Linked DNA regions of Drosophila melanogaster. The main gene of each other region encodes a partner of the protein of the gene in region 2 in a complex. Each region holds a gene or a part of one and is shown on either strand. Other genes may lie near its edges. The genes, in order: Tim17b1, ttm3 and Tim17a2.

What was found.
Region 1: ttm3 (region 2) and Tim17b1 share a complex: the UniProt entries of both Drosophila melanogaster proteins name them as parts of the TIM23 complex.
Region 3: ttm3 (region 2) and Tim17a2 share a complex: the UniProt entries of both Drosophila melanogaster proteins name them as parts of the TIM23 complex.

The regions. Positions count from the first base shown.
Region 1 is NT_033777.3:5,295,793-5,304,781, forward strand, and holds Tim17b1 (Tim17b1), read left to right. Parts: upstream 1-4,352; 5' UTR 4,353-4,399; coding exon 4,400-4,721; intron 4,722-4,912; coding exon 4,913-5,109; intron 5,110-5,175; coding exon 5,176-5,196; 3' UTR 5,197-5,394; downstream 5,395-8,989. Other genes in the region: mtd (mustard), read right to left, coding at 1-3, 65-171, 355-843, 2,410-2,697, 3,678-3,781, 8,319-8,390. UniProt on the Drosophila melanogaster protein: Essential component of the TIM23 complex, a complex that mediates the translocation of transit peptide-containing proteins across the mitochondrial inner membrane.
Region 2 is NT_033779.5:22,075,245-22,084,397, forward strand, and holds ttm3 (tiny tim 3), read left to right. Parts: upstream 1-4,387; 5' UTR 4,388-4,443; coding exon 4,444-5,475; 3' UTR 5,476-5,494; downstream 5,495-9,153. UniProt on the Drosophila melanogaster protein: Essential component of the TIM23 complex, a complex that mediates the translocation of transit peptide-containing proteins across the mitochondrial inner membrane.
Region 3 is NT_033777.3:5,254,274-5,266,508, reverse strand, and holds Tim17a2 (Tim17a2), read left to right. Parts: upstream 1-3,816; 5' UTR 3,817-3,983; intron 3,984-7,349; 5' UTR 7,350-7,363; coding exon 7,364-8,038; 3' UTR 8,039-8,173; downstream 8,174-12,235. Other genes in the region: Hph (HIF prolyl hydroxylase), read right to left, coding at 8,388-8,944; Enoph (Enolase-phosphatase), read left to right, coding at 9,906-10,261, 10,571-10,827, 10,890-11,047; CG1113 (uncharacterized protein), read right to left, coding at 11,106-11,535, 11,590-12,235. UniProt on the Drosophila melanogaster protein: Essential component of the TIM23 complex, a complex that mediates the translocation of transit peptide-containing proteins across the mitochondrial inner membrane.

The DNA.
Region 1 (8,989 bases), on a different chromosome or scaffold from region 2:
GTCCTGTAGAAAATGAAAGAGCAATAAGTTGGGACACAGGAGTAATATGATAAAAATGACTTACCTCCACACGTTCGCGGTCGAAGGCTTTGGGAAACGCGTCGCCATCGCGTCCAGTGCTGGAGCAAAGCGACTCTTGGTCGTCAGCGATTTCCAGCGACCCTATTTCTGCTGTTGTTAGATAAGAAAATAGCATTAGTAAGCGAATTTCTTCTGAAAAAGGAAATTTTATCACTGTTTCTATACTTCTGCTTCCGAACGATCTTAGGCAAGCTAAGCAGTTAATCATCTTCAACGATTTTATGTAGGAGTTACAGAAACTTGATTTCAGGAATGACCCGTCGAGGAACTTACCATCTAAGCGCTTATTACCGTCTTCGCCCAGCAGCGACTGCTGCTCGGGTAGCTCCTTGGAGTCTTCTTCGACTAATACTGGTTTGGGATAGTAGATTTCCGGTTTCTCCGCGTCTCCCGAGGCGGAGTTCAGGCCCTGACCTGCTCCTCCGGCCACTCGCATGTGCGCAATGTCGTGGAAGATGGCGGCGTTGACCACCAGCTCCATGGGCGCAATGACGCCGTAGCTCTCCGGGCCGTGCTCGATGACCAGGGGATCGCTGACGTTGGGATCGAACATAACGGCGTTGGGCGTGACCAGCAGGACGCCGCCCACCACGCCCTGTCCGTCCGTGATGTGGCGCACATTGATCTTGAGGAAGCGCTGTGTGATCACCGGATCGTCGCTTTTGTTGGCCTCCTCCTCCGCCTGCTGCTGCTGGCTACTGCCGCCCACGCGCTCGATGTGTCCCGGTTTTGGGGATCCGGGGCGCAGGCCCTCGAGTATGTCTGCAAGGAGCGGCATTTGGTTAATATCTTTGCTGGCTAGGTGGCTGCAAAAACGCCATTTAGTTATTATATTATATTAGGGGCAAGTGATTTTCGGGTACTATTTTGCTGGGCTGTGATTTTATCAACTACACCCGTGGCCGCGATAAGATTGTGAAAGCAAAATTGATATATGGGATAGTTTAAACTAAATCTACGCCTTGTGACCCCCTTTGTTGTTCTAGGTGTTACGACCAGTGAATGGGAACGGCATTATAGCGCTTTTCCTAGGTAGTTCGGCGTGTAAGGTGATGTCGTAAAGATATTGCCTAAAGGGTGTAGCTTTTGCATAGGGTCATGGGATGGGAAGAAATGTTATACATTATACGACTTTCGAAAAGGGCTTTTTAATAGTTCCGACTAACTGGGTGGTAGTAAGTTTTAAATTTAACAGTGTAATTTCTAGTTTCTAGCTCGAAACTACAATAGTTATGATGCCTTTTGAATCTATTAGTGCAACTTCTTTATCATCCATAACCGAGATTCGGTTTCCTGGGACATGGACAACGAGACCCTTGCTTGACCGAAGGTTATACTTTCCGGAATATCTGGACCTTCAAGGCCAGGAGTTTGTCAACCGCAATTAGCACTTTTTCACAGATCGGAGCGACAACAAAGGTAGAAAATCAAACAATAACCTCCATTGCGCCAGAAGACAGCCGTGTGCATGCTGAAACTTAGAATATCGAGTACGTCCGGGCGCACTCTACGTCGTGGATTATCCGGCTCTCAGTACGTGGCTTTCGGCACTCGACCGATTCGATTTTATAGCCTTTTTAAAGTGAGAAACAGCGGAAAAACACGTTCTATGAAACAGTCAACATTGGCCAGCAGTGTGACCGCAGCTCGGTTGTTTATATATACCTCATAGTAATGGAATATACTAAAAAGTTCTCGTCTAAAGTAAGGTTATTCATGAAACTGCAATGCTGTTTGTGGAAGAAGTGGCGCCAAAAATCTTAAAGTTATTACAAAATGTGGCCAAACATTAATTTGCCATCTGAAATTAATCAATTAACATATGCACATACCTTTTCTGTATTAAATAGCTGAATAAAGTTACTTTAAAGTTAAAGCTAGCCCTGAGACTAACTTCTTCTTGTAATTATAGCAATTATATATCAATTTATATACTAAACATTTTTGAGGGCTTCAAATGTTCAATAGTTTTCCAAATTAGTTTAGTTTTTACAATGTAATAAACATAGCCGCTTTTCGCAGTTGCTAACAAAACATTATTAAGAAGAACTAATTAAAAAAAAAACTAAAATCAAATAAGCGATATGTACAGTTAATTGCGCATCTGGATATATGATAGTATGCAAATGTTTGGACTTCTCTAGTAAATGCGACCCAAAAAGCGATGGAAGAACGCAATACGGAGTTTCTCAAAAAATGTTGGCACATGCATGTAAAAAGCTCGTGAAAATGAAAATCTCAAGCGGCGATGATGGCAAACGCTTCACTATCGTCGCACCAATTGCACCATTTCCACGGAGCAGCGCCTGGGTTGGCTTCCGTTCTTACCTTTCTCGCGGCTCTCGTCGCCGGACAACTTGCGCTCGACCGGACTCGATTTGCCGGACAGGCTGGCACCGTCCGCGTCGTGGGTGGAGCTGCTGGAGGCGTCGTCCTTGGCGCTCTTGTCCGGCACCAGCAGCTGCTGGCCCGGATAGATGAAGGAGCTGTTCAGCCGGTTGAGGTGGGTCAGCTCCGAGGGCGTGGTGTCGAACCGGGCGGCCACGGAGGTCAGGGTGTCGCGATTGCCCACGGTGTAGGAAATGGTGGGTATGGTGGGCAATGAAGACTTTTGCCCTGCGGAACGAAAAGAAATCATAATTAATAATGGCATCGTATCGCTGGAGGTACGTGCTCGCAGTTCTTTACTCGGAGGATCGTGCTTCTTCGGGGCACGCTGCTGGAAGACCTCGAAAGAGTCGCCATCGGGTCGCAAGTGCGAGCAGATCACACCTGTGGGCGGAACCTGCTGCCGGCAGTGGTAGATAACCGAGAACTCGTTGGTTGGCATGTGCCAGTATATCTCAATCAATTCCACCATTTCTAGCCCTGTATCATACGGTTTTTTTGTATCGTTAAAACTGCGGGCTCATCAGTTTTCTCGAACTGTCACAATTACATTCATACATGTAATCAACTATCAGCGCTGTTAGCTTTGGCGCGCACTTTCAAACGGGAGGTGCGATAAGAATTTGTTTATAGGTACCCCCCGGTTGGCGCACAATTCCCTGAATCAACTTCAAACTAATGCCAGTAAGTAAGTATGTTTTTTTTTTTAATGAAAATTATTTTATGATTATGTTAAGAATGCCTCTGGTTTAGGCACTAAAATTGAATGTAACGCGCAAAGTACAATCTGTTCTGATATATCGGAATCGGAATACTGTAGAATTAAAAAAAAAAACACCCTTTTTGCTAGCTGATTTGATTCAATATGTACACTTTTCTAATAATACATCGATTTTACATAGAGTGTGAGCATGAGCGACACCTGGCGGCAGAATACCCTAGCGTTGACTTGAGGAACCTACGAGTTCTACACAAATTTTACATTCATATTACATATAAGTTTAAATTGAACTATTTTAATTGAAAGTGAGTGGATACAGGGGGCTTAAGCCGGGGTTCAGCAAGGATCCTTCCCGAAATAAGTATTTGTTTTGAGAAATACAAAATGATTTTCATATAATTCTGCATCCATCTGCTGCCCTAACCAAAGATTCTCCATCGGTTTAAGTCTGTCTAATTAAATTATACTTATTTGAATAGTGACTTACTTGATAATTTGTCGACGCTCTCGAAGCGCTGCTCCACTTTGGAGCGGAGCGAGTCCAAGTCGAATGGAGCCGCAAGGCCGTGATCCACGCTGCGCGATTTGCTCCTGGAAAAGTGGGAGAGTGGTTGTAAATCGGTTGGGAATGGAATATTTGGGCTTGTAGCGATCGGAGCGCAATCTGTTGCGATCCTTATCACTTACAAATTTCCAGCTCGAATTGTGACCATAACCGGGTAATAACAATTTATTTATTGGCAGCCCGTTTGCCTTTTTTATTCAACCTTTTTGTTGTGCAATTGCTATCGTTTTGTAATGATTATCTTGACGATCAGCGAGTGTCCAAATACGGCAAAACGACGCATTTTAAATGTTTTTTTAAACGGTTTTTGATCTGTTTTGTTTTTTGTTAGATCAGCCTTTAAACAATTGGCGAGAAGTCACGATTTTCATGTGACTTGTCCTTAGGTGTTCGATAGAATTAAATCGGAAAAGTATGAAGTATAAGTAATTTGTAAGGAATAACACACGTGTCGAGTGCTTCTAATTACTGATTCTAATTTTAAAATGTAATTTTTTCTATTTGCTTTAAAAGTTTTTTAATGAAACTTTGAATTGAAAATCGCTCTCAAGGAGGCTTTGACTTGTCCATCTATTCTGCTGTGTGTGTCTGTCACCCCATCAATTTTATCGACTGAACTCTCCTGAGTCCGATAATCAACTGACATGGCGGAGTACGGTCGGGAGCCTTGTCCCTTTCGCATTGTCGAGGATTGTGGTGGAGCCTTCGCAATGGGCGCCTTGGGCGGAGGAGCCTTCCAGGCGATCAAGGGCTTTCGAAACGCCCCCTCCGGCCTGGGATACCGATTGAGCGGAGGATTGGCGGCGGTACGGGCTCGATCCGGCCTGGTGGGTGGTAACTTTGCGGTGTGGGGCGCTACCTTCAGCGCCATCGACTGCTCACTGGTTTACTTCCGGAAGAAGGAGGACCCGTGGAACGCCATAATTAGTGGAGCAACCACCGGGGGCATTCTTGCTGCTAGAACTGGTGAGTTTTAAAGTTTTTTTTTTCAGACAAATGCATTAACAATTAGTAAACCAGGCTGGTTTTCAATGCTTTCTCAGGACTTTTATATCCTTATATCCTTTTTGCCTTGTTTTTCTTTCTGCTTAACTTTATGGCTATTATCGCACGAATATGCGAATATTTACTTTTTTGCTTATTCCTCTTTTTGGCAGGACTAACCTCCATGCTCAGTAGTGCCTTGGTGGGCGGGGCTCTATTGGCCCTAATAGAGGGCGTGGGCATTGTGGTGTCCCATTATTCGGCGGATTCCTACCGCCAGGTGTCGCCCGTGGAGCGGCAGCAACGGTATAAGCAGGAGCTTTTACGGCAGCAAAAGGGCGTTTCTCCACTCGCAGCGACTTATGGAGAGGTAAGTGAAATCCCCTGCGCAATAATACGCCTCAATAATTCCGCCACTCACACTCTTTAATTCCAGATTGACTCTTCGGCATTGTAGAATTCTTCGCTGCGTCATCGCCTAGTCGTCGCTATCCATCCGCGAACGCGTGGATCGACGATTGCATACCAATTTATAAAAGATTGCTTTGATTGTTCGAATCTGATACTGGCGGCATTCCCATTTCAATTTAAATTCAATTGTCGTACAGTGCAAGTTTTAGAATCATAAATATATTTTGCTTCGGCATATTTATATAGACAGTCTGAAGTCCAGCCGAAGTGTGGTGGCTTTTTGGGAGGCGCGTGTGCTTCAAAGCTCCATACTTGAAATTCCAAACTTATTTGGGGTTTCCTCCTACAAAACTCCTTTGATCAAGCCAGAAACTCGAACCTTAATATATCTAAGCCTAAATATTCCACTTTATAATGCTTGTTTCTGCACCCGTGGAGTCAGTGGATTCTACTAGATTCCTAGAAAAGTGTGTAACAGACAAATGGATTTTATTTATTTTGTTTTTGTCTGCTACTTCAATCGATATGCCAACAACATATTGAAGTTTCTCACTAGCTAAATCAAGGGTACTCTACTATATATCATTAGATTTTCTTAAGTTACACTTTGAATCGTTCCTTTTTTTTAAAAGGTTGCTAGTGCTTATCTTTATTAAAACATCTCTTCTGCACTACATTCCTCTTTCTGCACTCACATAAGAGCAGTTTTCCCTATTATTGCGTTCCCGTTTGATTGGCAAAACTAATTTCCGTTACGATTTCGGGCGGGAAAATAGGGTTTCCTCTGCCCAGATAGTTGTATCACCGTGACAATGTGAATGTGACAACCAAGTACCCGAATCGTCAGGAGGGGGCTATTCATAAGCTTGAGTATATGAAAGCCTCTTTCTGTCGATCAAGGAACCCCTCTTTGGCTTCCCCCTGAAAATAATAAAAGTTTATTTGCGCGTGTCTTTTCACTGCGTTGCCAATTAGCGCAATTGGCGATAACCATAATTGAATATCAATGATAAAAAATAAATACGCGAGCGCGTAGAATAATTGCGGACTGGAGTTTTCAGCTGGCAGCAGGCGCATGCAAAGTGCCTTTGTTCGCAAATAAACAGCGGCGGCAGCAAATACTAAATAATTATTTAACGCATATTTGTCGCCATCAGCTATTTGCCTTTCCCATTTTTAATTCATAGCCATATTTACCCCCGTTCGCCAATGAGAATTTTCCATGGAAAGTCTTCAAGTGCCTGGCTGCGCAGCTGAAAAAACCTTTCGTGCTCGCCGTTTTCTAGGCCTTTTCGCGTGGAAAACCATTGCAAAAACAAGAGCCTGGTTGAAACAACTGTGTTTGATTTAAGTTGGCCACATTTGATGACGACCACGTTCCGAGTTATTGAGTTCAGACGGCGAAATGGCAATGGAATCCATTTGCACAGTTGGCTTTCGCGCTCAAATGAAATGGATAGGTACATATTTTGTCTTTGTTCGGCAAGCAAACATGAATAATTATTAAATAATTGTAAATGACACAAATATTATGTTCGGAGGCCGTGAATTTATTTTTCGCATTCTTCTATTTTTCTGCCAAGAAGGTCAAATATTTCGAATAAGCTAACATTTCTAACAGATTAAAATTGCTTCTTCTTTTTCCAACAACTAATTCTCAACAAATATGTACTATTCATATTTCAGCGACTATCTTATACTTATACTCGTATAGTGTAAAGAATGATTATAGGTTAAGACATCTTTTTCATGTTGTGTCACTGAGCAATTCCCAACCTCTAACTGTGCTAATCACTGTAACTAATTGCCAGCCAGTAGTTTAACTGCTATAGACACGCTTCCGCATTAACCAGTTGGACACACAAAATAGAGGATAAAATGAAACATCTTATTCATCATATGTATATATAGTTGCCCTTACTAATCCCCTGATGTTCTCCATACCACAAGTATCTCCAGAAGTATCCGCAATGCGACGAGTCACATTTGGCCAGAGGCTCTTGAGCAATTGAAAGCCGAATGGAAGTCATTCAGGGCTCGATCGCTGGCTCATACGTACATTCATACGTACATAGGTACATACAAATATCTTATCGCTCTTGTGCATTGTTTACCTTCGGGAATGTGGCCCTGGGCTACGATCAGTGGCATGAGCACCGAAAAAACAAAAGTAGCAGTAGCATTTTACTGGCACAGTTCCACCGAGCCAACTGTGTGTCAACAACCCACGGGGGTGTTACCCACAGTGCTTACATTACGCATCGAATGGCAGAATGGCAGAATGGCAGACAAGCCGAAGTGAACTGAGCGAGTGACTCAGTTTTCGCTACGTATACGTAATGTGCGATGCACGCACACATAATGTGCAATATTGGTGATTATTGCATATGTAAAATTGAAAATAAAGAGATTGTACTTTCTTATGTTCCACGTGACTCACCAAAAGGTTGCGACCTCTTCTTGGGATAGGCCTGGAGTATTCGCATCCTAGCAAATCTATTTATTATCACAATGGAACACATACTCTCACTTCGACTGCCTTCGAAACTGCCTTATCTCACACCCCTCAAACCGCCGATTTAATCTGTGAACATCAATCTGACATCACTTGAACATCAGCCATTTATTTACGCTTATACGCGACTTATATATTATCAGAATTCGTTAATAAGACGACAGCGAACATTAAGATAATCTATAAACAATCTATAATTTGAACACTGGTCGCTCTCGCCTTATAAATTATCAATATTTGCGGCCTGCCGTTTTCGATTTCGATTTAGATTTAGTTTTTTGCCCGGCTTATTTACAGACCGCAAAAATAATTTAATGCGGCAATGGTTATGGTCACAATTCGCTGGAAGTCAAATTTATCGTTATTTCTTAGATCTACGAATGGGTTATCAAATGTGGGTTAGACTTAAGTCGGGCCATGCACATGCACAACATGCAACATAGATACATAGATACACATAGCATAAGGTGGCTTTATAGTTATGTCATGCAGGTGCGTCACAGGCTCTTTCTACAATACATATGTACATATGCACATGCTATGTACTCTGGCTCATTTGCATTTGAATGGACGGGTGTTTTGGTGAGGGAGGCGGTGGTGGGAGGTAGTTGGGTGGACTTAGGCGGAATAGTTAGGTGTTAGTTGCAACTTACCTGCGCACGGGTATCGCCAAATTGTCAACGCTGCGTGACAAACTGGAAACATCTTGACTAGCCCTACGTGACCTGGCACGTTCGCAAATCATAAGGAGCACATCGGGGCAGGCGAACAAAACCAATTAAACGGCAAAGTGTGCCAAAACAAAACGGGAGGTCCAAAGAAATAAACGGAGAAACAATAAGGTAAATAAAAATGTGTAATTACGAAATGGTAAATTCAAAATACACGCTGCAGCGAAACTCGTTAAGTGTATCTCGCCTAATCGCGCGGGTTTAACAAATGCCAATTTACGGAATGCACACGTACCGTTGGGAACTCAACGATCCCGATCCCGATCCCAATCAAAATCCCAAGCCCTCCTGTCGAATAGCTATCCATCTGCCACTGGATAGTTTCATGGATATATGTGCTATATAAGTATATAGTAGATATTGCTTTGGAATCGTCACGTCCAGAAACGAATCGAGTGGGTTCGTGGAAATATATGAGTGAGAATAGAGGAACACACCTGCCTTATTTCTCTTCCTTTTCATAAGTTTTCAACACCATGCTACTTGAGTTGGTATTTTCCGTGGAAAGTTAAAAAGTTAGAATTGCTAAGAATCAGTGCTCACTAAAGTGCTTCTCAAGAATTACCATTTATATGCAATCAGTTGATACTATC
Region 2 (9,153 bases):
ACCAAAGACGGAGCCACAAAAATCAGCAGTGAAAAAAAGACGATACAAAAAGGATGGGGAAATAGTCGGAAGTGGCAGTTGGGGGTGGGACACGGGCTCATGAGAGCTAAAGCAGGGAAAATGCCTATTTACGAGCTTGCATGTTGCCGGACACATGGTAATCATATATTTTGGTCATATCTGTGGACCATAAAACCAGCGTTCTTATGTGCCTGTCAATGTGTTGTTTCATGACATTTATTTCGCTTGTTCCATCCCTGTTTTGGACTTGTTCGAAGCTCTGCGTGCAAAAGGAAAATATTTTAGTGTCCATTTAATGTCCAATCTAAGATGAGCTCGTAACTTTTGATCGAATAAACGAGCTAGGGCCCAGAAGCCGCCCATCACAGTCTTTGTGGGTCAAATGTGGGGCAATAGTTGAATCCGAGAAAAGTGGATGGAGGGAAGGATACCGCACTCGGATTAGTCACGCAACCTGGGTTTGCGAGTCTCCGGAGAAAATACTGCAAGACCTCTTTGACTACTGATAAGCAGAAGTTCTGTTTGTACGGTGTCTTCGGTTCTTTTATGGATTTACACTTCCTCCCGAAAGTATTGACTGTTGCTGTGGGAACTCTGACTCAAAAATCTAAAATTTAAATCAAAAGTTACTTATTCGTGGGGACCACGATTACTTGAGGGCCGACGTAAAGCACCTGGCTGTTAAACATTTAACTCGCACAAGCAGGCAGCATCAGTAGCCATGGCGGCTTAGGCGTCGGCCATACGCAATTCACACCGTTTGCGCAGCTCTCGACAATGCCGAACACGAAAGCCATAGCCATAGAGTAGATTTGCTACGGGACACAAGAGACTTGAAATAGGAGTCCTTTTCCAAATCTTTCCAAACCGAGTCCCCATTTATGCGATGACAGACCCTGAGGTGGGTAAACAACAAAATATTTTCAGGTATAGAAGTTATAGAAGAATTGTAGTACCCACTAAAGACATAAAGAAGGGTATACTAGATTCGTTGAAAAGTATGTAACACTCTAATGCTCAAAATCCATCCAACACCTTTTTGCCCGCACCTTTCGAAATTTTTTTCATTTTTTAGTAATCTTGTAAATTTTTATCAATTTTCCACAAAAAAAAATTGCGATGCTCACTCTAACGCCCACAAACCGCATAAAACTGCCACACATTTTAAAAATTTGTTAAAATTTTTTCATTTTGATTCTCACAAAAAGCCAAATTTTTTTTGTTCCCCAATATCTGTCGATATCCCAGAAAAATTATACAATTTCTCGTTCGAATTTCCACTAGCTGAGTAAAGAGTATCTAATAGTCGTGGAACTCAATTCATGGTGTTTTTTTTCATTATTTTTATCCCAAGACTTGCACTTACTATTTACATAATGAGCACTGACCAAAGAAATAAAAAGAAAGAAATAAGAATAAGAACAGAATCCACTCTTGTATACAACCAATGTCCCAATACAACCAATGTCCCATATTCACATAATCAGCAATTTTCACAAAAATTTAGTCTTAAGCTGAGATCAAAAGTGTAGTAGGCTTGAGGTACACATACATAATATCAGTTCATAATAGCAACATAGTATATAAACATTCAGTCATTGTTCGCTTTCGGGTGGCATAGCAACAAGCATAGAGGCAGATCGCAAACGGAGAGGGAGTCAGTCGAATGCTAAAGCTAAACACGTGAAGTATCAAATAAACCAAAGAGGCCAACTCCTGCGTTTGTGTTTTATTTAGATAAGAGGATATATAGTACCCCTACAAAAGAATAGAGACGAGAAAACTATTTTCCGTTCATTTTTAATCTTAGCGTTGTCCTTAGTCCACTGACGTGGCATTAGTTCGCCTCAATAAAATACAAGCATTTCGCCGCCATATAGAGGTCCGGCCGTTTCGTTTACACTAAAAAAATCCGGCTATATTTGACTTTTGGGATGGTTTTTTGCACTTGGCTGTTGATCAAGCACTGATCAAGAATATATATTCTCAAAGTGACTGAAATCAGTAAGGCCCTTTGCACTGGCTTCAAAATGTAAAAGTTTAATACAGAACTGTGATGTGCTGTCAAATGACTGCTGAACAAAATATTGAATATCAGATCCCAGTTACCCAGATAATGTCCCTGAGTATGTGGGTGAGATGTGCAATTAAGAAAGGCACTGCATCCGGGATTGCACACTACTAAAGCGGAGTTGGCAAATTTATAATAAATAACAGAAATTAAGAAAAAAAGTTGAGCCAAAAAATGAGAATTTTTTATGTTTTTGAAAAAAAAAAATAAAAATGATATAAAACAAATTTAGGGGATCAGAAACTTTTTAAGATTTAAGACACGACTGATCTATTCATACATACAAATTTATTTCGCTTAAATCGGATTGCATATAACTAAGTTACAACGTTTCAAACCTAAACAAATAGTCAAACCTATTCAGTTGAGCGGCACTGTATTTGTACATGTACAACCGCGACCAGAAACAGTTTTCGCTTATTCAAATAACTCTTAAGCAGCCAATTTGTCTAAATGGTTTGAAGCTAGACGCCTCTACTGATTACTAGTAAACGTAATCCTTTTTATTGGACTTTATTGAGCTAGTCTGTCTTTTCCACAACATTTGAGTAGCACTCATTTTCGCATAAATTGCGGAACCGATTTAAATACTCCAGCAGACCGAACCAATTTTGAAAAGTGATTAAATTTAACTGGCTAACGAGCTGAACTAGGAAATCAGAAATTATGAACCATGAGAAGGACAAAAGCCAGTATAGCACATAGACGAAGGCAATGACAATGAAGTGGGTATTGCAGGCGGCAGAAAAAGGCGGTACCAGCGAATGGGGATGCAGGAAAGATGGGGAAATGGCAATGGAAGTGGAACTGTAGTTCCAGAAGGACATGTGCCTGCTGACTGCTTAAAATCTGTGCGTCTGCACGCATTACAAACGAATTACGAGACTCGTTGGGCAATTGCAGTTCATTGTTATTTAATATGTCGCCCGTTCAATGGCGGAAGAGACGAAAGGACCAGCAGGAACACCAGGAGCCGAATAGTCAACGAGAACACGGTTGGGAAAATTATACTTTATGGCGCCAGGACACTGGATACCAGCACAAGGGAGCAGCAGACGCAGGCGGCTTGACAGTGATTGCGATACAAACGATTGCCAACGTTTCCAAGTGGATTATTACCTCATGCCAATTATCATATCAACGATACACAGGCACAGGTCTCGGTAAATGGGCAGAAACACACACTGAGCCACACTCGAAAGCGCAGGACACGCCAGGACGTGGCACATTGGCTGACAAGTGAACCAGCCCAAACTTCCAGCGCCCATCGCACTTTACGAGGTGTTGACTGTGTCGGCATCTGGCAGCTTCTGTCGCTCTCTCTCTCTCTCTCTCTCTGTCTCTCAATTGGGCTCTTGCGGAATTGCATGTACAATTTTAAATGGATTTCGATTGTTTATGACAAATCGACTATCTGAACTGGCATTGCTTGATTGCGACCAGCTCCTCTACCTGGTGTCCTGCGTCCACCTGAGCTGCTTATGTATGTACGTTCCGATTTACGATTAAGTCAAATTAGTAATTATATATTCAAAAGGGATGTGAGTGCTGTTCATATTTGGTAAATCAAAAGAAAACACCTCTTTACGAAGTAAAAAGCAAGTGACGAATAAAGCGTTGGATACGGTAATTATAATCAAACAGCATATTACGTACGTATTAATCGGGCTAACAGCTGCTTTTATTAGAGGGCCGGCAACCGTCCTTCCAATTTTCGTAGTCAAAAGGTAACAAAGTCAGCAAAAATTTTGTATGCGTCTAGTCCAAGGTAACATTAATTTTGGCCCTAGGATAAATGGTCCCACCTACGTTCCATCGACCGCTCAATCGCAACGACAAGGAAAGAGAGGGCTGCGATGGGCTCTTCTGAGGGGGTTTGATCGTTCTTCCGAAGATTTTTTAAGTCGACGGGAATTCTGGCCATGCATATCTGTCAGTATGTCTGCCCGGCTGTCTGTTCGTTTGAACGTCTAAATGTCAGAAACAATAAATGCTAGAAAGTTTAGATCATGTCCACGTCATAGACGCAGCGGAAGTTTCTTTCTTCAACGGAGAGCAACAAATATTTTGATAAAAAGTGTCGAATTTAAATAAAATATATTTAAATATATGTATATATTTAAATTGTTTAAATTCTAACTATAGTTTCTGGTTGGGATCGTCACTACTTTTTACCCTTGCGTGATGTTTTTTTTTTCTATGCTAAAATAATGTTTGACTGTAACGTTTCCTCTTGTTTTTATTAAATATATAATTACCACGAGGGTATTTACTTTGGGTATATACAAGTTGTTAGATTCGGTGTTTAGTGCTTAGTGTCTTAAGTCAATAAAAAATAACGTCTAGCTCAAATGCATAAAATTGTTTGGTTTGGAACTTTAAATAAGTCGATTGGCTACATCGGTAAAAAGAAGACCTGTCTTCTGAGTCCATGCGAGAAAATATGCCTGAATTCAGCTAGAAAAACAGTACAGAGATGCGACAAAAACTATTCACCACCAAAGTTAAGAAGAATCAAGAATTTCTATACCTACAGTGTTGTGTTGGGGAGTCTCTTCAGTATAGTCATGTGGGCCATCTATAAGCTGGGCAAGCCCGAGGAAGACCATCGGGGTCCCATAGAAGATGAGTTCAGTCAGCTTCCCTGGTTCCGCCAGTACATAATGAGGATGTGGCACACACTTCAGTATTATGAAAAAATGATGGAAGAGCCCCAGATGGCAAGGCTGCTGCCAAATGTTGTCCCACCGCCGTATATACAACCTCCCTATTCACTGGTGCTGGAAATCAAAGACGTACTGGTGCATCCAGATTGGACTTATCAGACGGGGTGGCGGTTTAAAAAGCGGCCTGGTGTGGATTACTTTCTTCAGCAGTGCAGTCGAAATTTTGAAATTGTGATATATACTTCTGAACAAGGTATGACCGCATTCCCCCTTCTGGATGCTTTAGATCCCTATGGCTACATAAAATATCGGCTAGTAAGAGGTGCCACGGACTTGGTAGAGGGTCAGCATACCAAGAACCTCGATTATCTTAACAGGGATCTGAGCCGTGTGATAGTGGTGGACTGTGATCCGTATACCACTCCCCTGCATCCCGATAATAGCTTGGTGCTCACAAAGTGGCTGGGTAACGATGATGATGTCCAGCTCTTTGATCTCACGGCTTTCCTGCAGTTGATTGCCGAACACCAAGTAAATGATGTAAGGGAGGTGCTGCGATACTATCGCCAATTCGAGGACCCCATGGAACAGTTTAAGGACAACCAACGTCGACTGCAGGAGCAGAGTCAGGAAAGCATTCAGAATTTACCAACTAGTGAACGTCAGTGGAACTTAACTTTATTGGGACGCTCCCTTCGAGGGTCTTCAATCAAATAAATTTTCGTTTATGCACCTTATATCTATTGTAGTAACGTCTTGATCTTGGAAACTAAAAAATCTAGTCATTAATCTAGTAATTTAAATGTTCAAAATTGTTTACCTTTTTTACATTTTATTATTTGTTTTAATTATTTTCATTGTTTTGGCAGTTCGACAACCACAGAGGTTTCGATTTTTATATCCGTTACCGAAGTTTAAATTGGTCTACTAGATTTACTGCCAAGCTAAACACAATTATACCCATTACAGGTTGAGTAAAAGGGTATACTAGATTTGTTGAAAAGTATGTAACAGGGAGAAGGAAGCATTTTCGACTATATAAAGTATATATATTCTTCATAAGGATCAATAGCCGAGTCAATCTAGTCATGTCCGCCTGTCCGCCTGTCCGTATGAACGTCGAGATCTCCGGAACTATAAAAGCTAGAAGGTTCAGCATACAGATTCTAGGGACATTGGCGCAGCGGCTTAACTCGAAAGTACGGCATGAGATAATTTTTATGGAGATGAAGAGCTCTGTAGAGATAAATATATTGAAAGAAATCCTTGAGGGTCGCAGATATAATTACCCGTGAAGCGCATTATATCAAAAACATCTAAAAAATCTATATTGTAATTATTATTGAAAGGCTTGACTGCCATGTGTCCAGATTATTTTATTAAACTGGTAAGCGGTAATGAAACACATGTTAGGTAACAAAGGGACACCCAGAGGGGTCGCCCGATCGCACTGTTGCTGCCCATACTATCCTTTTCGAGGCACTTTACGATGCAAAAAGTTTAAAATTTATGCGAACTGAACCAGGTGGAAAGGGTTTAGCGCTGTAGGAGTCAGATGGACATCCGGAGAGTAGAGCACCACTTTTGTGCTTGACCCCGCAGCAGCCTGCTTAGTCTCTTGACTACCGTTGGCAAAGCCGGAATGGGATGTACGCTTGTATACGTATGTGGTCGCCTCTTCGGTGGTGCGTTGTTATTTTATGGGACCGCCGCCACCACCATTTGCTATGAAAGCATTTCCGCCACCGGCAGCACCAGCGACAAAGCCAAGGAGCAGCATGGAGTCCACTTTAATTTTTGTTTTGTTCATAATTTACGCGACGCAACATCAATTAAGTACTTGGCCGGAAAAGCGCATACCTGCAGCTGAAAAAAGCGGTCATAAATTTGCACCCTAAAGTGTTGGCGAGTGTTGGGGCGCCAACCCGTCCCAAACAGCAACGTACATCCGCCATTCCATACAGGATTCGGACTCTTAAAGAACGCTGTCGTCAGCAGTGGTGGGGGGGGGCGGGGTGTTGTTCCATAAGCAGACCAGATGCAAGGTGCTGTGGCATAAATAACCAACGACCATCCATTTTAGTGTTCGGATCTCGGCGATCCAGAAATATCTAACATTATAGATAATATACATTTTTGGCCGACAGCAACAGCGAACTTTTAACCCGGAGGTACCAGACAACAGGAGATTATTAATCCGCAGAGTATACATAATTCGTTGAAAAGGATGTAATTTTTAATCAGAAACAGTACCACTTCGATCCGGCTATGTCTGTCTGCCCGTTCGTATCTAGGGAACTATAAGAACTAAGAAGTTAAGATTAGGCATATAGGGTCTAATGAACGTTGCCACACCCACTACAATTAATGGTTGTTACTAGTAGATATATGCGAAATAGAAAAATTAAATAAAAGTTGTTGCCAAAGCACATCAAATGGACATCAAATTAAAATTGATACTTTTCAACGAATCTAGCATACCCTTTTCTCTACCAGTAACGGTTATAAATATTACGCTAACGACAAAATTTACTTATTTATTTAACCATTTAATCCTTTCGCAGGATGCGACAATCAAAAAGGTAAACGAATGGTTTGCTGCACCCATCCATTTATTCACGCACCATAAACTAGGCACGCATTAATGTGAAGGGACATTCGGGACCGGTAAAAATAACAAAACAAAGTGAATACTTTCTCGACTATTAGATACCCGTTACTCAGATTGCGGGAGTACAAGTGAGTCGTTCGGCATATCAACAGAAATTCAAGAAATTCAAGAAAAAAATAAAATTTATAATTAAAAACACTACAATTAAAGACAAAACATGTTTTAGTGCGCGTGTGACAGTATTGGGCTGTTTGTGGATTTTTCCTAGATATGTAAATATATATAAATATTTTCAAGATATCGATCGGAATCGTCTATGCAAATGATTAAATCAAAGAACAAGTTCAAACGTATGGGCTACGGAATGTGGACATGTCTAGGTCGATTCGCCTGGTGATCCTGATCAAGAATAAGGTGGGGAACGCATCCATTTACCTGTTATATATTTTTTGACGAACCTGGTGTACTCTTTAATCTACGAGAAACGTATATAATAAATGGGGCCATAAAAATCCAACAGCGGCGAGCTCGACTTTTTTTTCGATTTGAGGCGGAGAAGACCGGAGTTTAAACGGTACCAGAATGCTTTGCGATTAATTACGCATTCCATTTAAAATTGGCCACATAGATAGGTGTACAATAGGGCAGATTTGGGGGCTGCGGCTGCACCGCGACCGAAATATTTTCAACCATTTGCCAGATTTTGAGTGCAGCCGGCGCAACATAGATTTTGGCATTGTCAATGCACTGCAATTTACGCAACAATCGCAATAAACATTGGTTCATTTGTTACGCAATTTATTTATCCTAAGCACTAAAATTTGCCTTTGCAGCCCCCTCCCTCCACGAAACAACACCCCCCCACCACCCTACCGTACACTACCAAAGCAGAAATATTGTTCGTGGGGGTTGCGGATGGTGCATTAAATTAATTACTCATGTTATTATTTTGGCCGAAATGAAGTACGCAGCCATTTATAATGGCAACTACACGAGTTTAGAAGTACCTGCGGCTTCCACCTCGTTCTCATTTAACACACTGCATTCCCAGTTTGTCCTTTGACCATTTTGGTTTGTAAGCCAAAATATATTTGAAAATGAAAATTGTAAAATGTCGACCATGCATGCGTCTGCTTGCAGTTTTCGCTTGTGTGTGATTAACTTATTTTCGAAATATGCCCATAAAACGCATGGCCTGTCTTTTTAGAATGAATTACACAGATTGGAATTTCTACTCGTACTCGTAGAGTAAAAGCGTATGTAACAGGTAGAAGGAATCGTTTCCGACCCTATAAATATACATATATATTCCTGATCATAATCACTAGCTGTGTCGATCGGGCCATGGGCGTCTCTCAGTATGTCCGCATAAGCGCCTCGATCTCAGGAGCTATGAATAAAAGATAGACCGTTAAGATTTAGTGATCAGGCTTCATAGACATTGACGCGCCGAAAGTTTGTTTTCTGATGATTTTATTGGTTTTCATAGTAATAATCAAAATTAGTTCAGAACTAAGCACGGTTTGACGTCGATACAGTGGGCGCGGTCAACATTTTTTTAAAGGGTTCAGACCCCCTCTTGATAAAACCTTAATGTTCCGTGTGCCCGGAAATGAATAAGTTCATCATTTAAGTTTACTTATTCCGAACAGGACCTAAGACATCTAGTTACTGCATTTCGATTAATCCGGTTCCCCCAATTTGGCTCTTATTCTATGGTTGGTTACTGGTCAAGCAATACGAGAATTGGATTTAATCGACCACCACATGAATCAACAGGCGGC
Region 3 (12,235 bases), on a different chromosome or scaffold from region 2:
GGGTACTGCGATGCATACAATTTTACGACTTTTTTATGATGCGCCCATAAAACAAATATTTTCATACATGTCGGTGGTTCCCAGTCACGTAGGCCACCCAGAACTCAACTGGCCCAGATGATCGCGAAATTCCGGATAAGCAACGCAAAGCAACACATTGCGAAAAATATGAAACAGAGATGAAACATTTCGCACAAGTTCACATGCGCCATTCAAAGTCATAAAGTCAAATGGTTGTCGCAAAAATACAAATATTACTGAAACGTGCCACGCTGTTGATCGAATTCCCAGAATGGGATGGGGAGAACTATCTGCACGCAACGCAGGAAAGCAAATTCGCTACCGCCAACACATTAATATACGAATTCAAAATCAGCGGCTGTCTAAATATTACGATACACGAAAGACGACATTGACGACCACAAACCAAAACTGTTAACCGGTTTTATTGACATTCGCATAGCCCAAGTTAATGCAAACCATAATTAACAGATTATAAGAGGTGTGAAATCCAGAAGAGAAAATAGTTAATACTCAGCCCGAGAAACAACTATTCTAAAAAAACGAATCCAACACCTAAAATGATGTTCATTGTTGAAAAAGTTTAAAGGAATTTTAAAAAGTAGAATGAGATTTGTATTGTAATAGCAACATCGTTTTCAAAAGCCCCTTAGCTTAAAAACTCTTTTTAAAATTGAAACTTAAAGTTAATTCGGGGAAATTAGATTAGATACCTAAGGGCAATAAATATTTATATCCTTCACTGTCATGTGGACACTCTTAATTCTCTCCTTAGGAGGTTTCCTTAATTATAGCCTCATTTTACATTTGTTCCTTAGGAACTTTAATTCAGTAATTAAAATATCATTACCGCTTGTCCAAAAGTTCCCGAAAGTACTGCTCAGCATTGGCAGGATGTGCCGAGTGTTTAAAAAAGTTTTTGTAGTCCGTGGTCGTGGAGGTTATCATTTTGCCTTGATTAGTCAGCTTGCTTCTCACTGTTATCACAAGAACTCTATTACTCTTGAGACAGCTTTAAGACTGAAGTCCTATCTTTGTATCTCCACAGAGTTATTAGTTGTTGTTGTGCAGAGAAAGGGTGAATTAAGTTCTTGGCATTTGAATTGTTTCAGGATCCTTTTTTAGATACCCTGAATTGGTTAATTACTGTTCTTGGGAGATGACGGGTTCTCAAACGACTCCTCCAGAATTTCACGTGCAACTGAAGGGAGTTTATAATTTGCAGCGAGTTTTATGCGAAGGGGAGCCTCGAATTTTAGAGGGAAAGAGTGCGAGTTATACGTACACCGGCGGTTATATTATATGGTATATAGGTGCAAATGTGTTGGTGGGGAGGTACGTATTATTGCAGTTTGCATTTGTTGGGGCCGGCTGCCTATATATTTCACTTTTCGCTTTGTTTCACTGGCAGATGTTTGTTTTGATTTGACTTTGTTTATGCACAGTTAGTCACGTTTGTGTATTACTCAGCTTCGGTTAACTAATTTAAGTGAAATGTGAAGCAGCTGAACCGAACCGCACTCGTCGCCGTTCGTTTTCCGAATGCGGCAGCTGAGCAGGTCGCTCTCGCTCTTTACCGTTGGTTACGAAGGAGAGAGAGGCAGAGCGTTTTAAGAGCAGGTGAAAACAATCTAGCTATTTTATGGCCAAAAACTAGATTATGAGTGCTCGAATTCTGGTGTGTTAGTCGAACATGTGTTAACGTTTATAAATTAAATGGACATCTACGAGCAATACTTGAGGCATTTAAACCCCAGTTCAAAATTGGCTAAGGTGAACTGTACGTCTATCCCGGATTCGGAATACAATCGTTTAATACGATAACATCAAGATCGTAGAAAAGGTTTAGTTTGGACTACAAATTGTAGTTCGTTTGCTGTAACCAAATTTTTCTAGCTATTTTCTGTCCGCCTCCCAAATCCGTTCATCACTATCTCAGAGCGTCCATGAAACTACGAGTAAATCAGAAAGTTGGGGGCCTGGGAAGCAGCTAAATAATCGAAGGAGAAGCAGCCGCTTAAGGCGATAAGCAGCACCTTGGTAGGTGAGAGCAAATAATGAAAAATACGTACATATTGGTAAAAGGTAAAAGGCAGCTGCAGATAGCGAAAAACCGAACTGAACGTGCAATTTATGGGATCGGATACCCCGCAAGGTTCCAGAAAGCGGGAGGAAGCTACTCGTTCCGCTTGCCCTTCAAGAGAGTTTAAACACTCTCTGCCAAGCCAAACCAATTGCAAACGTAAAAGCGGGGAAAAGCGGAGGCAAACAGTAAGGCAGAAAGACAAGCGCAACAATCGTCACGTAGCCCAGCACACACACCAATGCGCAATTGGCACACGCACATGCGAGCGACCCATACAAACGCAAAGAAGCCACACGCACAGGCGTTAATGCGAGAGCCAAGTGAGTCAGAAAGAGATGGTCGCCAGCGAAGGGAGTGTGAGAAGGTCAGCGATAATGTAGATATTTAAAATGTTTGATACAAATATCTGCTAAAAATGCTTAAGAAACACTAACGAAGATGAGGCACAGAACGGCGGAAGCACGCGGAAGCTAGGCGAATGTGCGAACCAAAGAATTGGGTCAACGGCCCAGTTCAAAGTCGCCGCCAAACAACGTGCACGCAGAGAAATCGGGGAGACCTTTTAAAGCGCCATTAAAATAAAGAAATATCCCAGAAATCTGCCCAACATTCTGTAACCAAGATATATAATATATATAATAATATAATATATATATATAATAAATAAATCAGTCATAAAATTGGTAACGAAAAATATCAAAAGTATCTTATGGAATAGGAATAAAGATTATTCTATCTTCTGTCCTGTCTATACATTATTTATTATTTGGTAATACCCTTGGGCTAACAATAATAATAAGTCCCACACAACCCAGTTTCGAAGCAAAATGGCCACTAAACTGAACTGATTTCTTTTAGTGCAAACACGTTTTCGTGTACATTGTAATGATCGATTGGCGCCCTTTTTGTCTGTGATGTATTACGTGCGACAACGGCGACTGCGGCACGTGTACCACACCAACTCGCAGCCCTTTTGGTGGGCGGAGAAGCACCTGGGAGAGGGGCGTGGCGACGCACACGCACTGAGTGGCAGTCGACCTTGGTGACGTGCGTCTGCCTACGTAGCTCGCTCGGGCTCGCACTGGGTTCGAGATCCATCACTGGGAATCCATCACACAGCTGAAGGAGACCACAGACATGGGTTTACACCCAATTGGAAGTGGATAACATAAATAGAAAAGGGGAACCTTTAAGGAAATCCCTAGGAAATTTACGAATATTTTTAAACTAAATACCATTGCAATAGTTTTATATTTCTAATGTTTCCAATGGTTGCATAGTTCACATCGCAAGATATTCGATCTAAATAAACTTTATTTGATTTAAACTGGAAAGCACTTTCTCTGCTTTCAAAACTACATTTAGACATTCAAGTTCGGAAATGAAAAAAAATGAGGTGAGCAACGCTAAGGTGAATGCATTCTGGCTGAATCTTAGGCAAATCAAAAAGTAGCAGAGCAAACTATCCGCGAATGGATTGATTCCATATTGACTTTTCCTATCAATATTGCTGATTCAAATTGGAATTCGGTGGCGACAAGATGCGGTTTTTTCGACTTTTTCTGTTCATCGAGTTTTGCGCAACCGTATTGTTTGTTTTTCCCAGCAAGTTGCTTGACACATGTATTTTAGCACATTTCTAAACAATGACGGAATTTTGCAAGCCCCTGGAAATGAGATCACGTCGGTCCGACTGCGCTAATTGTTTGATAAAGAACAACACATCCCGCCGCAGATTGAAATCTCGGAGCTAAGGCATTCGCTAAACTCTGATAACACGATTTGAACGATACGCTTGCGTATTCCCGGCACGTAGGCAAAACGCTCCGGACCTCCCGGCCGAACGGACCACCCACCCACTTCGGGCGATAAGAAGGTAGAAAATACTGCACCTGACAAAATCGATTTGCAACAGTAACATAGAAAAATGAAGGCTTTTATTTGTGTATCCAAGTAAAAAGAAAATATCATAACTATCGGGTGGGAAGTTATCTGAATTAGTTCATATGTTGCACTTATTAGCTACAACTGCACATCCAGGAACACAAAATAATTTACTGCACAGTGTGGGGTTGATGATGACTCAGCCGGATTGGCTGAAAGATAAAATTACGAACAAATTTCTATATGTGCTCCGATGTGTGCGGTTCATGTTTGTTGTATTCGTTAATGCCGGGGTGCAAAGCAAAATAAATAAGCGAGTATTAAAGATTTGGACGCAACAAACTGCGCAACAGAATAATTACAAAGTCAGCACCTCCGCCCGGAAGAATGCGAGTCCGGCTGCGATTGCAGGTGCTATCAGATCGGGCATGGGTGCCATATACACTATGCGGCCGGGCACGTAATGCCGAAGGTAAATAAATACTCGACTCGAGAGGTGCCATCTCGGAGCAGAATGTTAGCAATCCGGAGACAGTCAAATCGCAGGGCAATTACGAATCTCATCTGACAATGCGATGAGTTGAATGGGAAAACAAACTGTTTCTATTTTTAAACTTTTACGTCTGAGAATATCGGACAGCCTATGTAGTACGTGCAGACATCAATCTAAAACCAACACCAAGTGTTTGTCTCCTAAAGAGTCCTTTCCTGGTTCCCCATTGGATTGGAAGCTTTACCTTGAACACCTGTAATATTATATCATATGATTTGTGTATACTTTAACAGCAGCAGTTCCAAAATGAGCCATGGTTTGGCTAATACAATTATACTAATTCACCCAAGCGATCTAAGATGATCTAGCAGTGCTATTCAATGTTTTGATTTGTGTTATAGGACCTTTTGCGAGGTAACTAGTATAAGCTGTATATCAACAACCAATAAATCAGCTGCGAAGAAGCTTGAGGATCGCGAAAACCATAAACTTCAGCGCCATATGAGCGATATGTCATCAGCTGTGTCATGTTCTGCTGTTGATTCGTGAGGCTTCTCAGGAGTGGGCACGTAACCGCTTATCGTAATTGACTTGATGTGCAAGTGAAGACGATAGGGGGCTACGAGCAGGAGGATGCACCTAGTGGGGTATATTTGGGGCTATAGATTTCGCTCCGGGACAAACTGCAAACGCAACTTCAAGTGTGCGGTCGGCTAGCTAATCGCGGTGCTTGGTTCAGTTACATTTAATAACTAGTTATCAGGTGAAATCATGGCTAATCAAATTCAAGATAAGCTTGCACCAAAACGTAGAAAATCTATTCTACCGAGTCATTTGGATGTTTTCAATAAGATATTGAAAATAACTCATCAATATCTGAGTGGCATTTTTCTTGTACAAGTTTTTGCTCGATCTATGTACGTTGTCAAGAAACTGTTTACACACTGTGAAATAAGTTGAATTTTTGACTTTAAAGCTAAAAATTAAGGGTTTTTTGCTTAATTAAACGAAATTTTTTTAAATAATATAATTAAACAATATTTATTTTATTTATAAATCAAAAAACAAATTCAAAATATTAAATATACAAGAAAATAAACAACGAATTCCAAGTTTACACACTTTTAAGACTGTCAAGAAACTCTTTACACATTTTGTTTTCCTACTTTGTTTTGTTCTTTTTCTTAGAACGAACTCGATTTTTCCGTTATTTTTGGCTTTGCATTGCTTTTTACAACGCTTCTATTGAAATTTGTTGACTTTGCTTGTGAAATTTTGCTGATCAAACGTGCTTAAAGCGAATTATTAAATTTAATAAAATGCCTGGAAAGAGATTAACTTTTGAAGTTACCCAATTAATAAACTATAACCACCAGTTGGAAAAATCTTTTCCAGAATTAGTATAAATGTTTCCTGTATCCCGTAAGACCGTCTACAATGTTTTAAAAGGCTCGGAAAAAGAGGGCAGGCTTGAACCTAAGAGTGGTGGTGGGCGGAAAATTAAAATTAAAAAGCGTGTAGACTGCTTTATTATGCGAATAGTGATTGCGAACCCCCGAATCTCGGTCAGATCACTTGCTCTAGATATCAGGCAAGAATGTCACCTAGCTGTGTCACACGAAACTGTGCGCCAAGTCATCCTACGCCATAGGTACTCTTCAAGAGTTGCAAGGAAAAACCCTTTGCTATCAGATGCCAATATTGAAAAGCGTCATTTATTCGCAGTGAGCATGATGGATCATGCGGAAGAGTACTGGGATGACGTCATATTTGGTGACGAAACAAAAATGATGCTCTTTTATAACGACGGGCCAAGCAGAGTATGGCGCAAACCGTTGAGTGCGCTAGAAAAACAAAATATCATTCCAACGATAAAATTTGGAAAAATGTCACTGTTGGTTTGGGGCTGTATCACCAGCCGTAGAGTGGGAAAACTAGCCTTAATTGAGGGCACAATAATTGCCGTGCAATATCTAGGAATTTTAAAAAACAAATTTGAAGGCCAGTGCAGAAAAATTTGATCTAGTTAGCAACAACAAGCCAAATTTTATATTTTAAGAGGACATGATCAGAAACATAAAGAGTGCAATGTACGCACCTGGCGCCCTTATAACTGTGGTAAAGTGATCGATACGCCCCCTCAGAGTCCTGATCTGAACCCCATTGAAAATTTGTGGACCTACTTAAAGAAGAAGGTGGCAAAAAGGAACCTAAAACACAACAACAGCTTATGACTGTAATAGTCGAAGAGTGTGAAAAGATCCCGTTTGAATATGACCTGCAAAAACTTGTCCAATCCATGAAAAAAGGGCTTCAACTTGTAGCTAAAGCCAATGGGGAACATACTACATACCAAAACTTTTAAAATTTTAATAAAATAATTTAAAAATTTAGGATTAAACATCGATTTAGTGTTTTGTGTAAAGAGTTTCTTGACAGTCTCAAAAGTGTTTAAACTTGGAATTTGTTGTTTTTTTTCTTGTATATTTAATATTTTTAATTTGTTTTTTGATTTATAAGTAAAATAAATATTGTTTAATTATATTTTATAAAAAAAATGCGTTTAATTAAGCAAAAAACCTTTAATTTTTAGCTTTAAAGTCAAAAATTCAACTTATTTCACAGTGTGTAAACAGTTTCTTGACAAACTGTATATTTCGTTTGTAGGACCATTGGTAAATATTTGTATCTAGTTAGAACGGACGTAAAAGTCGTAAGGCAACATTCTCAAAGTTATGTATAATCTATAAACACACGTTTTTAATCAAAGGCCATATTGGTCAAAAGCTGATAGCACATATTCGCAAAACAAGGAAAGTTCACTACAAATCAAGTTTTGAATTAATTACGGATTCTTTTGGTCAGTACATCACCCGAACATGGAGTACAATCGCCAGCCGTGTCCCATCAGGATTGTAGAGGATTGCGGGTGCGCCTTTATGATGGGCACCATGGGAGGATCGTTGTTTCAGTACCTCAAGGGATTCCGAAACGCTCCGTCCGGTCTTCGACGTGGCTTGCACGGCGGTATAGAATCGGTGAGGTTGCGGACACCGGCCATAGCCGGCAGCTTTGCCATTTGGGGCGCCACCTTCAGCACGGTGGACTGCGTCATGGTCTCGTACCGCCAGAGGGAGGATTCCTGGAACGCGATTGTCAGCGGAGCGGCCACTGGCGGAATTTTAGCCGCCCGGAATGGAATTCGAGCCATGGCCAACAGTGCCTTTGTGGGCTGCCTCGTTTTAGCCATGCTCGAAGGAGCTGGAGCAGCAGTGGCTACGATTTATGCATCGGATGGAGGAGTCAAAGCAGAGGAGTCCCTAATCACTGTTGACCAGCAAATGCAGAGACCCCAGTGGGAGACATCCGTTGCTGATTCGAACCTAACTGGGGCGGAGTTAGAGCGGGTGTTGGATGAATGTCGGGCATACAGGGCACACAACAAGATGCAGCAGCCTATGCGTTCGGACGCAGTGGAGGGTAAGGAACTGGGGCAACTGATGAAGCCAATGCACTCGTTGGTCGATCTGGTAAAGCTGGCCGAAATTGTCTGATAGAAAAGCTTTTAAGGTTTTAAGTCAACCTCCCATGCTTCTTCCAAATTAAGTGTTAATTCGATATTCAGCGTTAATCTTATATTATTTTTAAAAGCCCAGTAGGTACAAGGAATGATTTTCTATCTCATGGAGAATATTTTTCCATCTTCAATAAAAGATCAGCTGATATTTGATTGCATCTAATAAAATACTATGGCACTATGCAGGCTCAAAAGAGCTTCTAAGAAAAATATATCTCTTCTAGCGTGCCACCATGAGCAGTATTATAGTATTATACATTTTTAACTTATGTTTTAGCATAAAACTGTTGAAACTGAAACATCTGACCTGTCCACTGACGACCTACCTTCCTGATCCCATGAAGCTGGCATCCGCCAGACCGATTTGATAGCTGGAGCTCTTTTCGCCATTATGGTGATGATGCTGGTGCTGCTGCTGCCTTTGACCTGTTTCCGTTTCCGCAGCTGCAGCCTTCTCCTGGCTGCCCGGCTGCCCGAGGAGATTCAGCAGGTTGTCTACCTCGGCGGGCCAACTCTGCGCCTGGTGGGCAGGCGTCATCATCTGGGCGGTGGAGCAGTTGGCGCCGGCGCCGCTGCATTCCAGATTGGCAGATGCCACAGCTTGTTGCAGTTGCTGGATCTGCTGCCGCTGCTGCTGCTTATTGTTGTTGCTGCTGTTGAGCTTTTGGCGGGTCAGGAGGCGGCACTCGGTGCGGTGGTCGGGCCAATGGAGATGCTGGTGGGCGGGGGAGCAGTAGTAGACGGCCTTGCACTTGGCGCAGCGCAGTAGTTGCTGCTGAGTGCCGCAGATGGAGCAGCGCGGCGGGTCCATGGCCGATTTGGATGCGGAGTGGGAGCCGGAATGGCTTGCTGAATCCCTGACCTTTCCGCGACCCCTGCTCATTGCATTTTGCGGGAGAGGAGAGCCAAAGGCGACGACCGATTTTAACCTTGACAGCTCTCCCAGCTTTTTTTACCCCACCTCACCTACGCCAACTGAGGCAATCACACACACACACGCTCGCAGATTATGGCTATTTGTTATCAATGCGAATTACGGCACTCGGGCGTTTTAGCCAACATTTCACTTAAGACTGTTTGTGCTTATTTTAATCACGTAGGCCACCGAATTTGCCAAATAAACAAAAAAAAACGCACATACAACGCACACACACAGACGCACGGGCAGCTATATGTGCATTGTTGTTGGTTTTTCCTGCGAGTATTCTCTTTTGTAAGACGTTTTAGGGTTGCAACTTTTAACCCTATTGACTGTTTTATACCCTGCCTTGAGCTCTATTACGCCCCTTGTTTATAAAAACCGCGTAAACTGTGCAAAAAAAGGGAAAAATTCTTAACTCAGCACTAAAATTTCTTTTTGATAGCGATGGGCGTCGACCGATACTTAGCGTGCAGCGATTGACATGTACTCGTTGTACAGCACTATTACCGGCGGGCAGTAGGTATCGATAGCTGAACGAGCCAACGTTAGTGGTGATTATTTTATACTGGCACTTATATACTAACGGTAATCAAAGCTTTTTATTTCGCTATTTTTATTTACTAGCTTTAATATTTAATTGCACAAGATTCGGAAACAAAAAGCTATTGGGAAAATTAACTCAAAGCGGCCATTAACCCCATAAGAATTACTTTAATACAACTTCAGTCGATCGTTTATCAATTAAGCAAGGTCTCTAAGAATGGCAAATACCCTTATCGTCTATTCCAATACATTTATATATATATATTTTAAAGTCGATAGTCGATAGCGCGATGTGCCATCTCCATTATCAAAACTAAACAGATGCTGGGCGGAAAATCAACTGGTTCCTCGTGATAACTTAATCCCACTAATAAGCGCAATGTCGTCCAGTGAACGAGTGGCCAAAGTGGTGCTGGTGGACATCGAGGGCACCACCACTTCGATTAGCTTTGTGCACGATGTCCTGTTTCCCTACGCCAAGCAGAATGTGGAAAAGTTCCTGAGGGATTCGTGGGAAGAAGATGATATAAAGCGTATTGTCCAGGATCTACAGCAAGTGCCCCAGTATGCGGACTACAAGGCCCTGTTAAGTGGTCCACCTACGGAAGTGGATGTAGATCTGATTGCAGGCTTTGTGCGCTATTTAATTGATCAGGATCTGAAGGTCACGCCAATGAAAACGCTGCAGGGCTTGATTTGGGCGCAGGGCTACGCTAATGGAGAGCTGAAGGGCCAGTAAGTTCCCCATTCAATATTCTCCTATCATGGCCATATAAGTTTTACAATCTGAACTCTAGAAGGTTATCAAAGAAAAGGCTTACTTAACGTCTGTTCCCAAAAATAATTTGGGTGTCTTTCTGAGATCCAATTATACAGCTTGGTGATTTTTTAAATATGTATGCTAGCTATATTCTCCGCACGGGAATGTTTAACTTTTGCTGATTTCAATAGTTATCAGATAACATTCAACATAGTAACCAAAAGTACAACGCAACAACTCATTATTATTGATAATTAATTAATTATCTATAAATGTTATTATAGTGTATACGAAGACGTCCCTGCAGCTTTTGAGGCTTGGCGTGCTGCTGGCCTCCAGATTGCAGTCTACTCCAGCGGCAGTGTGGCTGCCCAAAAGCTGATATTCGGTCATAGTTTGGCCGGGAACCTGCAGCCGTACTTGAGTGCTTATTTCGACACCCATGTGGGCCACAAACAGGAACAGCAGTCCTATAAAAACATTGCCAAGCAATTGAAGGAGGACCCGAAGCAGATACTCTTTCTCACGGATATTCCAGGAGGTGAGTGGCTGATCCACACGAATCCTCATCCGTAACATTTTTAATGTGAAATTATATTTTAGAAGCGGCCGCCGCTCGCTGTGCGGGCTTGCAAGCCATAATTCTGAAGCGTCCTGGAAACGCCGCCCTAGCAGACGATCAAAAAACTGGATTCGAGTTGATTCCGGACTTTAAACCACTTCACAACCTGAAAGTTCCGGTCAATAAATCCCAGGCTTAGGTCATTCCAAAAAAGTATACATATATTGTGACTATGTGCTTGGGAATTAGGTGAATCTCTAGAGGAAAGCTCGATCTGCGCTGCACAGGTCGTCACCGCTGTCGTGGCTGGGCGTCTCGGTCGTGAGCCCCTGCGGCCGTCGTTCGGACCGCTTGCTTCGTTGAGACTGCCTCGAACAGGACTTTTCTGAGCCATAGACCTTACGCAGTTGCTGCAGCTTAGTATCCGCATCGGGAACAGGAAACTCTGACTTTTTCTTCCTACGTTGCCGGCTCCCCTCGCACGAATGACGCAGTTCCTCGGTCCGGCAGGTGTGGGTGAGCTTGCCCACTTCTGGACCCCAGAACGTGGGTCCTTCCAGAAGAAGGGGAGCGGATTTGACCCGTTGACGCATCATCTCCATATGCAGTTCGTACTGACGCTCCTGAAAAGCCTGCTCTGCCTTGCGAGTGGCCAACCGAATGGATAGCAGTGCCTTGTGGGATTCGCTAAAGAAAGAACACTGAATGTGTGCGAAACTTAATATTTGGTGAACTACTCACTTCAAGGACAGTGATTTCCAAGCCGGCGTTTTCCTCACCTCCCAATCGAATTGCGGACGAGGATCATGATAAGTGCAGTTGTTCTTCAGCTCCTTAACCTTCTTCCTAGATACTTCAGCCCTCAAAGTTGCCGCTAGATTAGGACGAGATACCGGATGCAACGGGGACACACTGGGCGTTCTCCTCTGGACCGGTTCCTCCGGCAACTCATAGATGCTCAGCGGTGGTAGTGGCTTCTCATCCTTTACGCTAGACCCTGGCTTTGGTTTCCTTACTCTTCCGCGTCTTCCTCGACCTCTTGCTGCGCTGGAAGCACTACTACTTCGCTTCGACGAGGTGGTGGGTGATTGAATCTGTATCTTGGGAATTTCCTCCTGCTTGCTGAGTGGGAAATAGTTGCTTCGCGCAGGCTGAGCTAGTTTGGAAGGCTTCGAATGAGCCTCTAAGGCAATCCCTTGAAGATCATTGACACTAAAGCACCTGCGCAGCATTTCCCTTCGGCACTTGGCCCGTTCTGCCGTGTGCTGGCCAGGATTGGCAGTCTTCTGGCAGCGGTTCTGCGTCTGACTTTGCTTGTTGGTTTGTGTTTGAGTTCCGTTGCTGCTCGTGGACTTTGGCCTGCGGAACTCCGCTTCGAAGCTCTTAA